Linked DNA regions of Arabidopsis thaliana. The protein of the gene in region 1 interacts with the protein of each later gene in a pairwise test. Each region holds a gene or a part of one and is shown in the gene's direction. Other genes may lie near its edges.

Region 1 (4,541 bases):
GAATGTCGAGTCTATGAATGATCAAGAAGCTAGAGAAACCAGACACAGCAAAACAGCCTTATATGCATCCAAACTGATCTAAAAGAAGCATTAAAGACTCCACTACCAGTGTTCCTTGTAAACGAAATTCAGTAATTGCACCAGCATCATGCTCCACCAATGATTCAATTCTCTTTAAGATTTACCAAAAAAAATTATAAATAAAACTGACAATATAGGTAGTTATGACACCCCAAGAACCTTCCACTGTTTACCCTAAATTTGCAGAACTTGAGATATTGGCAAATTTACATATTTACCAATTCATTGTTTCCATAAAAATTCAAATAGTTCCTCCTTCTCTGAACATTCATACACTCTAAAGAAGTACTAAACAATATGAAATTTCCACTCCTACTTAGACTGAGACCTAACAAGCTAAAAACCTAGAACACACGACGAAACAACAAAGTAAAAGAAACTCCTATCCAAAAGCAATCATCAATCTCTCAACTACATCATGCGCCTAGCAAAAACTGACGAGAATTTCGAGTATAGTATCAATGGTTTATAGTCGACGAAATGAAAGCACTAAGCAGATGCTAAAAACGTCTAGAGCCTAGATCAAAGAAACTCACGTAGAGAAGGTGATTATCAGATAAGCCGAGCGCACGAACGAGACCGATACACTGATTCTCGGAGCCAGGGAAACCGTTTCCGATGACGACGGCGCGTCTGACGACGTTATGGGAACCGCCTTGTTCGAAAATATCAGGGACGCCGGTAGATAGACTGGGTGGATCCGGCAATAGGATTGGCCTCATGCCGGTTAGATTATCGATTCCGATTCCGATCAAAAACCCTAGAGGAACCACACCGAGATTTGGGGGGATTGATCTCAACTCCGTAGAGAGAAGGTCGTGGTGCTTTGACAAGTTGCGAAAGGTCACAGAAAGAGAGATTGTTTTCCTTTTCTCCTTCAAGAGATTGTCTTTACGCTAAAATTTGGTATAACAATTAACAAAGGACAAATTTAAGGTCTTAAACGAATTTTTTGCTAATCAATAAAACTAATTTTGTCAATACAAAACATACAATTGTTTAAAAAAAAAGAAATTGTATGGTATTTTAAAAATTTTGATTTTAGAATTTGAAGTTTTGGAATTTTGTTTTGTTATATGATGATTAAAATTAAAATTTCACCGATAGTCATCCAAAATTAGAATAAAACACTATTTGTCACATAATTGCTGTTTTTCTAATTGTCTATTCAAATCTTATGAACCTCTTCGTAGGCCCAATATGTAGAATTTGATTGTTAAAAGGTGAAGCCTTATCTGGAAAAAGCCCAACTGTTATTGTTCTTCCTGTGCCTCGTTTTGTCTCGGTCTAACTTTTTTACACACGACTTTACCAATCATAGTATTCAAAGAAATCTAGCGATCTCAAGACTCCGAGTGTCACGATAGAGAATATGAAATTGCAGAAATGATTCAATATAATTATATATCTTAGCTGTTGTTAACACGTTAGATGTTGAGTTTAGGAAATTAATTTATTGGGTATTTTCATACTATTATATTCATAGGTAGCTATAACGATGATAAGATAATTTAATGTGTGCAGGTTGTAAACAGTTAGGAATATGAAATAATTCAACTATATATTATAATCATCTCGTGGAAAACAGGATCGATTGCACATGATTCATTGGAGACAAGAATCGTTAAGGTGTTCACACATTACGTGTCTTTGTTATATTGGGGTTACAAAGATGCATTCATATGATGTAGTATTATCTTGAGATCTCCAGAAAACAAACCGCATTTGAATCACAAAATGGATCTACCACCCAAAATACTACCAACTCACAAATATCCTTTGACCATTTCGACTCGTTTTGTTAATGATTCTTGTAAAGGTTGCAATATAAAAGGTCCCATCTATGGCGGCTACCGTTGCAACGAGCCTTCCTCTACTAGTTTGTTCTTCCACAAAGAGTGCGCAGAGGCTCCACCGGAGATTATCAACCATCCTTCTCATCCTCAACACACTCTTAAACTCCACAATTCTCTAAGGAACCCATGTAAATGTAATCTATGTGGCAAGACTTTTTTCGCTTTTGGTTATCGTTGTTCATCAAAATGTGACTTCATCGTGGATCTCACTTGTGGGATAAATCCATTGCCGGTTTCTATCGAACATCCAAAGTCTCATCATCATCCAGTTATCTTCTTGAAAGAACCCGCAAAGCCGGGTAGGCGCAGATGCGGAATTTGCAAGGGCTATAATGGTGGATGTTCTTATGCATGTCTTGAATGTGAAGTCCACTTTCATGTCGAGTGTGTCAATCTTTCCCAAGAGGTGAATCATCCTTCTCATCCTCAACATTCTCTCAAGTTACTTGAATATGAATCACTAACAAGTGATGCTGAAGAGACATGTCTTTTATGTGGAGAACGACCAGACAAAGTGCTTTATCGCTGCTCGATATGCAACTTCAGCGTATGTCGATTCTGTACAAAAGATCCACCACCACTTGCTATCGAGCATCATAAGACGCACGAGCATCGACTTGTCCTCTTATCAAGACTCATCTCATTTGAATGTAATGCTTGTGGGATGCAAGGTGATCGAAGTCCTTACATGTGTGTTCAATGCGGGTTTGTTGTCCATAGAACTTGTATTGACTTACCACGTGTCATAAACATCAACCGTCACGATCATCGCATCTCTTTCACCCATCATCTCGGTGTTGGGTACTCGAGATGCGGTATTTGTCGCAAAGATATAAGTCAATACCATGGGGCTTATTTATGCCCTCGTTGCCCGAACTATGCAGCTCATTCACTATGTGCAACAAGAAAAGACGTATGGGATGGGGTAGAACTCGAAGGGACACCAGATGATGATGACGAAGATATTGTGCCGTTCAAAGTGGTGGGTGATAACTTGATCAAGCATTTCAGTCATGAAGAACATAATCTAAGACTCAACAAGGACAATATCAATCGTGACGAAGGCTCACGTTGTGAAGCATGCGTCCTTCCTATCTATTCCGATCCGATCTACAACTGTGAGGAATGTCGTTTCATTCTCCATGAGAAATGCGCTAATCATCCAAAAAAGAAACGACATGTATTCCACACAAAACCATTCACACTATGGTCCAGACCACCTCGTACATTCCATAGCAAAGATTTTAGATTCTACGATGTCTTTCGCTGCTATGCTTGTAGAACGAAGTCTACTGGTTTCAGGTACGTTTCTGATTGGTGGGTTCTAGATGTACGTTGTGGTTCGCGTTCTGAACCGGTCATTCATGATGGTCACAGACATCCTCTATATTACGAACATAAGAAAGATCACTGTTGTGATGCATGTTATAAAGAGATAGATGGTTATCTGCTTTCCTGTGACACTTGTGACTTTGATCTGGATTTACACTGTACTGATTTACCAAAAACGGTAAAGCACAGCTGCGACAATCATCCTCTTTCCCTATGCTATGGCGAAAATGCAACCGGAAAATATTGGTGTGATATTTGCGAGGCGGAAACAGATCCAAGTAAGTGGTTCTACACTTGCTCTAAATGTGTGGTTACTGCACATATTGAATGTGTGCTTGGAGACTTTTCACGTCTCATGCCAGGACGCATCATCAACTACAATAATGTTAGAGTTGAAGTGGTTCTTAACAGCTATAGTTCTCGCCCCTTCTGTGCAAAATGTCACTCCAGATGCAGAGCTCCTATCATTCTAAAGCTTTGTGATCCATATACTGGATACATTTGTTCCGATGCATGTGTAGTGCCCGACTATCAATACAGCTAAGACAACTATGTAGCTGTTTATTTCACTCTATTGTTTCTCGTAATTTTTTGGATGTAAGAGTTTATTTCCAACTACAAGTGCTAAGCATTCTGGTTATATTCATACTGTGTTCATCAGTACAGGCAGGATTAAACTGTATCGATGACATATATAAAGTCGTAACAAGTTATGACAAACTTGCTAAAAAGGTAGTAGCAACTAATATGATTTAGTTAATGAAAACATAGACAGAAATGATGGAAACAGATATTTGTGAATCAGAAATGTTATTAAACAAAGATGAAAACTGAAGTAATTTTAACAACAAAAATAACGAATATGTGATGTACATTGCAAATGCAAAAATTATAAAGACACAGCGGATAAAGTTTTGGAAATACAGAGAACAAACTCACTCACGTGACTAAATCTAAAAGACAAGGCAAGAGTTCAATGAACCTCTGTATCATTTTGATTTTGACATTTACAAGAGTTACATAAGCAAGGAGGACCATGACATGTAACTTCAAACTCACAGTCATTTTCATGACAAAACCAAGGCTTCAAATCGAAATGATGCGACTGAGTTGATTTACAAAAACAGTGGTCCGTTTCAGTATACCTTAGATAAGGCCGCCAGATTTTAAGATCTGCATGATGGTAAAGTGATTCCTCCGCAGAAAGATGCGATTATTATGTACAGCAAGAAAACTATCAAGCATGTCAACAAGACCCTGCCGAACACAAAC
Region 2 (5,491 bases), on another chromosome or scaffold:
ATTTACACAAACCTGAAGTACGGTAAGAGGTAGATGAAGAAGTTTGCTCGCAGAGATTTCAGAGGAGAAAGCGTGCCGTTGAAGGTTTGTGTTTTTGGTTTTGATAAAGTCAGGTGGCGTGTAAGGTATATTTATAGGTAGGGTTTTATCTTAACGTTTACTGTTTGTCTTTTTCGCCAACTTCATTTTTCCATGTGTCAATAAAACATGTCTTACAATTTTTATTTTATAATTGTCGGTTTCTTACCCGAAATGTTTTTTTATAGGAAAATTTGTGTTAGGTAATTTTGCAATTTCATTTACAAAATATAGCACGCTCCTTTTGAGATGGGCTAAAATCGTTCCAAAGTTTGGGCTTACACGCCTAACCATTGGCCCACTCCAGTTTACTTCTATCTTTCACCAAACTAAGAAACATTGATCCTTGAACAAAAAGTAGTATATGTTTATATGATGACAAAAAAAAAAGAGTAGGAAATCTATGATTCTATAGGAGTGTAAATGAATAAGCTGTGATAAATTTAGGTTATTTTTCTTAACGATATATATTGTTAGATCAAATTTTATAGTTACATCATTTGGAGTATAATGTAAATATGTTCCGCTTTATAATAATGTAAATATGATTTGTAATACTAATGAGAACACACGCTCATTGTCTTCCAGTTCAAGAAATATCTTAAACCCCACTTTTTATCAGCCACCTGAATTTGAGTCTTCCTCTGCCACATAATAAATTGTTTACATGGACCAATTCTTGGTTACAAAACATCTGATATCATATCGTGCAATTAAGAAGGTATTAAATGATGTTTTTTTCTGTGGCATTTGTATATACTTTCAAGTTTCGACCAATTCTATAAGTTAAGAAAAAGGCATTGAGGGAAATTTAGGTTAGAAAAAGTACACAACGATCCCAGCAATGGGAAGTAGCTATCACTTTCAGTGACCCTATTTCTCTGAGTGGGCAATAACATTGTAGGCCCCATTCTGTGGAAAATCCACTAACTTCAATGTCTGCTCTCATTTTCTATTGTCTCCTTCGCTGTTTTTTTACAATTTACGTTACCACCAAAACTATTCCTTTGTTTAATGACGAAAACGCCACTCTTTCTAAGCAAAATGTCAGAGAATTTTGTTTCTTTGTTGGAGAGTTGAAAATATTTTTTACATAGAAAAAGAAACCAATAATGCAGTCAAATAATAATAGGAAGCAAATAATAATGCAAGTATCTCTAATTCTCTATATCAAATTGTATTCAATCATATTCACCAGATGTAACCTCTATAATGGAACCTTTTTGAATATTAAAATATCATTAGATCCTATTCTTACAATGTATCAATCAATTACTAATTAATTTTCTCTGGTTTTCTTGATATAACAATAACGTTAAAAAATCTCATTGTTAATCTCTTTATGCCATCATTAGTATTGTAAGATTTTGTACACTTTAAATTGTAAATTTGATCTTACAGAAACAAAAGATCTACAAATCTTAGTTACAGAAGATAATGGTATTAAACTATACAAATCTTAGTAGTTTAATATTATTAATAATCAAAATTATTCTAAATTAGAACTTTTACAAAATAAACATTTATCAGTCGCTTTCATAAATGTCAAACAATAAAAAAAGAAAAAGAATCAAAGATCTAAAGAGTGGCATTTTTATGACGTCACATTGAAATCCAACCGTGTAAATTCTTTTTTTTTCAATATAAGCAAATTAATTCACACGTTTTGTGCGCTGTCTTCGAAACTAAATCATTTATAAAAAAGACAAAACAGACAAGAAAATACAAACTGTCAAAAGAAGATTTTATATTGGTTGATTTGAAATCTCTCAGCAAAGAAGAAGAAGAAAGATTAAAAAAAAACAATCCTTTATTATTTTTCATTTCAACTCCAATTTTGATTATCTGGGTTTCGAATATTCCTCATTTTCTCCAATCACAGGACGAAAAGTAATCATCTTTTTGTCTTTTCTTCTCCGGCGAGAGACTACAATGGACTCTCCGGTATCAAAAACCGATGCATCGAAAGAGAAATTCGTGGCTTCACGACCATCAACGGCTGATTCAAAGACGATGAGAGGTTGTGGACTCGCGAATCTGGCATGGGTTGGTGTAGATAAAGTAGAGCTTCGTCAGAGGTTGATGATGCCTGAGTATCTTCGTCTCGCTATGCGTGACTGTATCAAACGCAAAGATTCCTCGGCTATTCCTGATCATTTACTTCTTCCTGGTGGTGCTGTTGCTGATATGGCTCCTCATGCTCCTATGGTTGTTTTCATTAACCCCAATTCTGGTGGTCGTCATGGTCCTGTTCTTAAAGAGAGGCTTCAACAGTTGATGAGCGAGGAACAGGTTTTGCTCTCACTGAACTTGTATTTCAAATCTTTTTCTTTGGGTTTTTGGGGGAATTTCGAATCTAATTTGTATCTACTTTGTGTTTTGATTATGTTAGTTTGGAAACTTTCTTAAAGTCTCTGGCTTTTAAGTTTTTAATGCTTGATTTATATGTTTATGCTTAGCTGATGTTAGATCTAGTGTTTTGTTGGAACTTTGAAGGATGAGTTACGTTTAAAGATTGAGTCTTTTGGAAAGCTGAGTGATGTTGATGTTGTCAAGTTATTGGTTTGAGCTTTTGATATTGAAACTTCATGGTGACTTTTGTGTTGATACAGGTGTTTGACCTCACGGAAGTGAAGCCGCATGAGTTTGTTCGATACGGGTTGGGGTGTTTGGAGAAAGTGGCAGCGGAAGGAGATGAATGTGCAAAAGAATGCAGAGCAAGGTTGAGGATTATGGTGAGTGTATTGACCATATTTTTCTCCAATCTCTATAGATCCACTTGAATGTTTTTAGCAATCAGAATTGTGAATGGAATTGGTTGGATAGGTTGCAGGAGGTGATGGTACTGTTGGTTGGGTTCTTGGATGTCTTGGAGAGCTTAATAAAGATGGAAAGTCGCAAATTCCTCCTGTTGGAGTTATTCCTCTCGGTACAGGGAATGATCTTTCAAGGAGTTTTGGTTGGGTGAGTTGTGTTTTCTTTGTTCTCTCTTATGTTGTCGTGACAAAACTTTTGAATTGGTACTGACTATGGTATCTCTTCTTCAGGGTGGTTCGTTTCCTTTTGCGTGGAGATCTGCTGTTAAAAGAACACTCCATCGCGCAAGTATGGGTCCAGTTGCTAGACTTGACAGGTAAAAGTCTTATTTTGCTCAAAACATTTAGCTTTTATTGTATTTCTCTTGTTGTAAAAATGTATGCGCTTTGGTTATGTGGTGTTGCAGCTGGAAGATTTTAGTGTCAATGCCATCTGGAGAAGTCGTAGATCCTCCTTATTCTTTAAAACCCGCTGAAGAAAACGAACTTGATCAGGTTTTGCTCTATTTCATTAGGCTTGCTTCTTCTCATTGAATCATCAGCATGTGATTTTGTAAATTGCCACGGTTTAGTAATTAACCAGGCTTTATGGTGGTTTCAGGGTTTGGACGCGGGAATTGATGCGCCTCCACTTGCAAAGGCTTATGAAGGTGTTTTCTACAATTACTTAAGCATAGGTTTGTTGAACTTCTCTTTTTGATATCCTAAACAATTTTCACAATTGTTTTTCTGACCAGATTCTTGTGTTTGTCTGGTTTGTTTAGGTATGGATGCTCAAGTTGCATATGGCTTCCACCATCTTCGCAACACTAAACCATATCTTGCTCAAGGCCCTATTTCAAATAAGGTTTGTTTATTATATTTGCACCTAAACTTTGGACTCATTATTTGTCTTTGTTAAAAGCTAAAGTAGTTATGTTGGTTTTGAGAAACGACATTACCAACCACACAATGTTTGCTTTTGCAGATTATATATTCAAGTTTTGGTTGCAGTCAGGGTTGGTTTTGCACGCCTTGTGTCAACGATCCAGGTTTAAGGTTCGCCATTTCGACTCTTATTGTGTAGTTGAACTTGTGTGTAAGTCTCTGCTTAAGCCCTTTGTTGTGTTGTTGACCCCTTGTTTGTGCTATATGAATTTGCAGGGGACTTAGGAACATAATGAAAATTCACATCAAAAAGGTTAACTGCTCTCAGTGGGAAGAGATCGCAGTCCCGAAAAAGTAAAAAACAGTTTTCGATATATGATTTATGTATTACAATCTTTGATATCAATGCTTAAAACCTGATGCTATGGATTTCTCTTGTAGTGTGAGATCAATTGTCGCATTGAATCTTCACAGCTATGGAAGTGGAAGCCATCCTTGGGGCAATCTAAAACCGGACTATCTAGAGAAGGTATTGTTTCTGTTCCATTTCATCATATATGAACTCAGTTCTCTGATGTTAACCCGAATGTTTTCTTTGGTTTTTCTCAGAGAGGCTTTGTGGAAGCACATTGTGATGATGGTTTGATAGAGATTTTCGGTTTTAAGCAAGGATGGCACGCGTCATTTGTCATGGCTGAGCTCATCTCTGCCAAGCACATAGCTCAGGTAACTTCAAAAGACACTGGTCAATGTATAATCTTTTTAGCCATGTGTTTGACTGTTTCATTTTGGTGATCATTTCAGGCTGCTGCGGTAAGATTTGAGCTAAGAGGAGGTGACTGGAGAGACGCATTCTTGCAAATGGATGGTGAGCCATGGAAGCAACCAATGAGCACTGAGTACTCAACATTTGTGGAGATCAAGAAGGTTCCTTATCAATCTCTGATGATAAATAATGAATGATTGAGATTCAAAGCTGGATTCTTTGTACAAAGCTAATTGTTTTGTATTTGGATTTGATTCAGTTAGTCATAGATATAGCCTAAGCTTTTTAGTCTTCTTTTCTTTTAAATCTGAGATTGTGACCATTTTTCTCTTTTTAATTTCTGCTTATTGTTGGTTTTGTACATTTTTGTGTTGTGAGGAATGAAGTTTGTTTATTTATAAGAATGTGGGAAGATAATATTTGGTCAAATTTCAATCTCTCTTCAATCTTTGTAATTCTAGCATTGAGCACATAGATGTGATTCTTTGTCATATTTTTATTTATTTTAACACTAGTTCGACTGAGAACCAATTTATCATCGACACCAATTTCTAAGTAAGAATATTTTTAATAATTATCATTATTAGTCGTATATTTTTACCAGAATAATAAAAAATTAAAAACCTAAGTTAATAAACCACACAAAAAAGTTTTTCTCTCTTCGCTCTCTCGTAGTTTGTAAAGATAGAAACTGAAATTTCTTTTGTTTTTGTTAACCGGATAGTTTTCCGGTGAGTCGCCGTCCCGTTTAATTCGGGCTTTCGTCCGACATCTTCTAGCTACGTTAGTGGAGATGGTTGGCTTTTTGTATGGCATCGTTGGCTAACTTAGCGACGTTGGCCAGCTTCCGTACGGCAGCGTTGGGCTTACACTAACAGCGTTGGTCATCTTTGTTTTTGTTTTGTTACTTCAAAGGTTTGATGATGAAGCTTTATGGCATGCAGAATCGTCAGATCTGAAGAGG
Region 3 (4,776 bases), on another chromosome or scaffold:
AGCTATTTAAATGTGTTTAGGTTTTAGTATAAGAAGAAGCTGTAAAGTTTTGGGGTAAAACTATAACAAATGTTTTGATCGAGTTTAATAAAAATACACATGCAACTTAGGACATGAACAATAGCTAGCTTGGAGCTAGAAAACATTGATAGGTTTTTCAAATATTCAAGACCCCTCTGATAATAGTACATAACACAAATCTAGACGAAGATACCAGAAGCTTCTTCCAACTCAGGTGAAGGATCAAGCTTGGCCGGAGAAACGGAAGGATCCTTCACAATCAATCGAATCTCCGCTTTTTCACCCCACAAACTATACTTGAGAAACGCAACCACAATTCCACCTACAAAGCTCCTCATCTCAGACTTTTTTCTTTGCCCATTCTTACACATACAACCGGCCATAAACCCAACAAAACCGGGCAAATCATCGTCCAACATATCCATATGTCCGTAATCCGCAGCCACGAAATGGGCTTTCGTCGCCTTACACTCTTTGTAAAACTCCTCATGGTTTAAGTCCGTTGGTGCGCATGGTGGCATCACGTTGTTCCACTTCGGTCCGAGTCCGGTTCCCACCACTGCAACCGGTATGTCCAGCTCGAAAGATTCCGGTTTATACGTTAAGATATGCGGATCGGTTCTAATGTATTTGTTAGTTCCTGCGACTGGATCAATTCCTATTAGAGCTGAAAACGTGATGGATGGGTCTAATGTTGCGGCATGGCCTAGCGCAACCGCAAACGCCGTTTTCCCACCGCGGCTGTGGCCCACGAGTGAGGTGTATTTTCCATTAGCATTTACCGAAGTTGGTAGGTGAGCTTTGAGGTTTTCCGATGCCCAGTTTATCACACTTCCAGCATCGTCCACTTCCACTTGCCCTCCCGGCGGCAATAATTTGCACAACTGTCATTCAAGAATATAAAATTAACTTATATCTTTTCACGTAACAATCAATCTCAATTAATGTACATTTTGTTTTACATGTTACATGTTACATACCGTAAGTTATCCTTTTAAATGATTCATAATTATTTTTTGTATAGTTAAATTATGTACCTGTGGGGCTACAAGAATGTAACCATGCGAAGCGATGTGGTTAAGAACGTCAGAGTAGAAGTAGTTGCGAAGATAAAAGCCATGGAAGAATAAAACGACGGGATAAGTTCCGGCGACTGTTGGACAGGTGATTCTCACCGGTTTTGGCGGTGCTGTTGAATCATTTTCCACCGGATCCACCGGTATCTCGGTTGTCGGGAGGCTGCCTATCTCAAAAGCCGCCGGAGTTACCACAGAGGAAAACGTTGGACTGTCCTCTATCGCCGCCATTTGTATTAAACTAGATAATTAAAGAGTTGTGTTGAAGATTTATGTATGAATCCTTCGAACTTTAGCTAGTTGTTTTGTATTTATAGGGGGAGAATGTTGATTTTTCTTATCCGATTCATTATAATTCTGTGGTTCTCTCGGCTTCTCATCGTAGTTATAACAAAATGAATTAAATACTTTCGAAAACGATAAATGCATGGGCTGCGTAAACAAAAGAGCATGTGTTGATTCAAATTATTACAAGTTAGTTGGTATACAATTACTCCATGCATTTATCATTTTCGGAGTACAATTTAATTCGTTTCCCGAAAACGATGTGTCCATAAACACATACCAAGACTTACTAAGTACTACTAAAAAATATAATCAAATTGCATTAGGAAACATATTGTTATGTTTGTTAAAAAAAACATTTTGTTATGTTTGTTCAGTAAAAAAAAAAAAAAAATTGTTATGTAAAAAAAAAAGAAACAAATTGACCAAAAAAGTAAAATTTGACCAAAAACAAATAGTAGCACAAGAAAAACAGAGAACAGAAAAAGAAGAGAGGAAGGGTGACGTGGCACAATTTCCCTGCGACGCACCCAACCTCCGTCTCTCTCTCTCTCAGATCGGCGGCCATCTCCGTCGAGTAATTGAAATCTCTCTCAGCCGTTGGATTCGAATTCCGCCGCATCTTCATATACCTCGTTTCAATCCTGCGGAACCCTAGTTGCTCTGGTGAGTCCCTGGTGAACCCCCGGATTTTAGAATCATCTATTGTATTTACTTTAATTCCGTTCCATTGATGATTTCTGCGTTAGATTTTGAGGTCTCTGCCTTCACCTCTATGTATTATAATGGCTCTGATTCGAAGTTCACATTCTGTTTGTTTATATGCAGAATTGTGGTTTGCTACTGTGATAAGTTCTTCAGTGGTAGATTAGGAAGCACCACCAATGGAGATTGTGTAAGACATATTCATTACAGCTCTCTTTTAAGGATTATGGGGTCTGTTTGCTGTGTGGCTGCAAAGGACAGAAATGTTCCCAGTGGAGCTATTGATAATTCAGTGTGTTCACCATCGTGGAGTTTTCGACGGGACAACAGGAGGCGTGTAGCTGATGAGATTAAAGATTCATCTAATCATAATGTTGGGAGTAGAGGTATTGACATCGATAAGTTGTCGTTAGGCTTAGAGAGAGGACCTCCGTCATCTGAAACTGGGGGTTTAGCTACTCTTGGCTCTCAGAAATCCGCAGACTCAGAGATGGGCACAGCTTCGATGGTTACAGCTCCTTTAGCGGGTACAAGTTTGGCGATTCGATCTCCTTCAGGTATGTTCGTTCAAACACTTTTTTTGTGGGGAAAGTGTAGAACTTTCAGTTTCATTGTTTGGGAATATACTGTTGAGTCGATTTTAGTTCCTTCGTGGATGTTCTTTTCCAGTCTACTCAATCCAGTCAAAGGGGTAACAACATTTATTTGGTAGGATTAGATCGAGAGACATTTCATTTTTTGGTAGAGATCATTTCAGCTTTATTTTCTTACTGTAATGAAGGATTTTTTTCCTGTCTCTCATGCATCTATTTTCTCTGGGCAGATGTATCCTTGGCAAGTCCTGTTCGTGTTGAGGTGAGATCATTACTTACTCCAATCAGAGTCTCTTTTCGTCCCTTCAGAGTCTCTTAACCCTCTCGTCTTTTAATTCTTCAGGTGAAGAATATAGTTGACTCATCAGATATTGTTTCATCAGTTTTACCAAATCCGTCAAGTTCCACCTCGGTCTCTGATCTTCCTTCAGCTCACACACATTCACTTCCTCCCAGATCAACTCCGTCTAGACGTGCTCGAGGTTCACCTGGGCAGCAGTTGTTTAGGCAGGTTTCTGATAGTCAAACTTTGGGATTGAAATCTCCCAATAATTACTCAACATCTGAAGGAAGGTCGTCCTTTGTGCTTTCGACCTGTAGTAATGACACTGCCACTGGGTCCCATTTTGCTTCTTCTGAAGGTGGCTGGTCCATAAACGCCTTTTGTGAGCTCGTGGCTCAGTCTCAAAGGGAGAGATGGTCTTTTGATAATGAGCACTTAGGTTCCGGACGACGAAGACTAAGTGGGTGTAGTAGTAGCAGATTCTCATGCTCCCCTTCTGTTGATCAGCAGACTTGTGGGCGTTGCTCAAAGCTTTTAACTGAAAGGTCTCCAGTTGCCAGGTTTGACCTTCCAATTCCTGCTGTTCTAGCGTGCGGCCATGTTTACCATGCGGCATGCTTAGAGACAATGACAAATGAAACAGAGAAGTATGATCCTACGTGTCCCATATGCACAGAGACACAGGTTACTAAATTATCGAGGAAAGCTCTAAAAGCCGAGGCAGAATTGAAGGCAACGAGTTACAAAAGGTGTAAGAACCGTGTGGTAGATAGTTATGTCCGCAGTGAATGTGAGGATCTTATGTTCCAGAATCTAGGGAAACGAGAAGGAAAAGGTCTGAAGATGGATCCTAGTTCGAATACCAAAGGCTCCACGTCTAAGTCTTTTATGAAATGGCACTTCGGTTCCGTCAGCACCAAGTGGAGTAAAGCCAGGGATTCTACCTCGAAGAAGAGCTTTTGGTCCAGACATAGTAATAAAAGATTAAGTCATTCTTTTTCAAGCGTTGAGGTAAAATATCCATACGAGACTCAATATGTTCACTTTCCATCTAAACAAAGTTAAGTTTCTCAACTGCTAACACTTCTTTTTCCGCATTTCAGGGCCTTAATCAGGCAACATGACATAAAATAGGACTGGCTTTGGATTAGAGAAAAGCTCCCTTAAACATTTTGTATCCCTTTTTACTTTTATTCCATGTTTAAATGTCACATGGGGAAAATATGTGTACCAATGAAACAAACTTGTCATTTTGTAGAATGCAGAAGAAACAAAAAAGGATAAACTAAAAATCTATCTTTACTAAAGAGTCCCTAATTCTCCACAGGAAAGATTCAGATCAGCGGAATTTAGTCCTGTGGTGTGCTCAAAAACGGTTGTCCATGTTCTCGACTATGCTTTGCAGTCCTGACTTATACGAAGGATATAACAATTTCACTCCTAGTTTATCCTTCATGCGTTCGTTGCAGACTCGTTTCTCGCCTCTCAATGAACTTTCCTCCCGAGATTCATACAGAAATGGAAATGGTTTTGTGGTGATATTCCCCGGCCAACGTTTCTCGATCAACTCCAAGGCATATTCAAACACCTCTTCTCTTGCTGCCGGATCATCATCAACAATATTGTAGATCTCCCTGCCAAAATGGTTGATTCATCCGTCTCAATGGTTCAATCATCCATCACAAAAGAATGATCATAGATGAAGAGGGATACACAAACCCTGATGCTGGCTTTTCAGTGGCAGCTTTAAGAACTTGGCATATATCTTCAACATGAACTCTCGACGTGAATTTACGGGACGCTCTTCTCTTTT

What was found. Proteins that work in one complex are often made in the same cells at the same time.
Region 2: the proteins of AT5G22355 (region 1) and DGK3 interact in a two-hybrid assay, tested with the Arabidopsis thaliana proteins (one large-scale study listed by BioGRID).
Region 3: the proteins of AT5G22355 (region 1) and AT1G19680 interact in a two-hybrid assay, tested with the Arabidopsis thaliana proteins (one large-scale study listed by BioGRID).

What each region holds. Positions count from the first base shown.
Region 1 is NC_003076.8:7,399,944-7,404,484, forward strand, and holds AT5G22355 (Cysteine/Histidine-rich C1 domain family protein), read left to right. Parts: upstream 1-1,763; 5' UTR 1,764-1,818; coding exon 1,819-3,813; 3' UTR 3,814-4,029; downstream 4,030-4,541. Other genes in the region: ELM1 (fission ELM1-like protein (DUF1022)), read right to left, coding at 618-803; VAMP714 (vesicle-associated membrane protein 714), read right to left, coding at 4,436-4,526.
Region 2 is NC_003071.7:8,116,966-8,122,456, forward strand, and holds DGK3 (diacylglycerol kinase 3), read left to right. Parts: upstream 1-1,770; 5' UTR 1,771-2,010; coding exon 2,011-2,370; intron 2,371-2,690; coding exon 2,691-2,813; intron 2,814-2,904; coding exon 2,905-3,042; intron 3,043-3,125; coding exon 3,126-3,211; intron 3,212-3,301; coding exon 3,302-3,389; intron 3,390-3,495; coding exon 3,496-3,571; intron 3,572-3,658; coding exon 3,659-3,741; intron 3,742-3,861; coding exon 3,862-3,932; intron 3,933-4,037; coding exon 4,038-4,115; intron 4,116-4,202; coding exon 4,203-4,290; intron 4,291-4,370; coding exon 4,371-4,487; intron 4,488-4,565; coding exon 4,566-4,724; 3' UTR 4,725-4,982; downstream 4,983-5,491. Other genes in the region: AT2G18721 (uncharacterized protein), read left to right, coding at 34-141.
Region 3 is NC_003070.9:6,803,596-6,808,371, forward strand, and holds AT1G19680 (RING/U-box superfamily protein), read left to right. Parts: upstream 1-1,834; 5' UTR 1,835-2,048; intron 2,049-2,210; 5' UTR 2,211-2,313; coding exon 2,314-2,644; intron 2,645-2,910; coding exon 2,911-2,942; intron 2,943-3,023; coding exon 3,024-3,974; intron 3,975-4,066; coding exon 4,067-4,087; 3' UTR 4,088-4,267; downstream 4,268-4,776. Other genes in the region: CLH1 (chlorophyllase 1), read right to left, coding at 201-905, 1,059-1,328; AT1G19690 (NAD(P)-binding Rossmann-fold superfamily protein), read right to left, coding at 4,330-4,597, 4,683-4,776.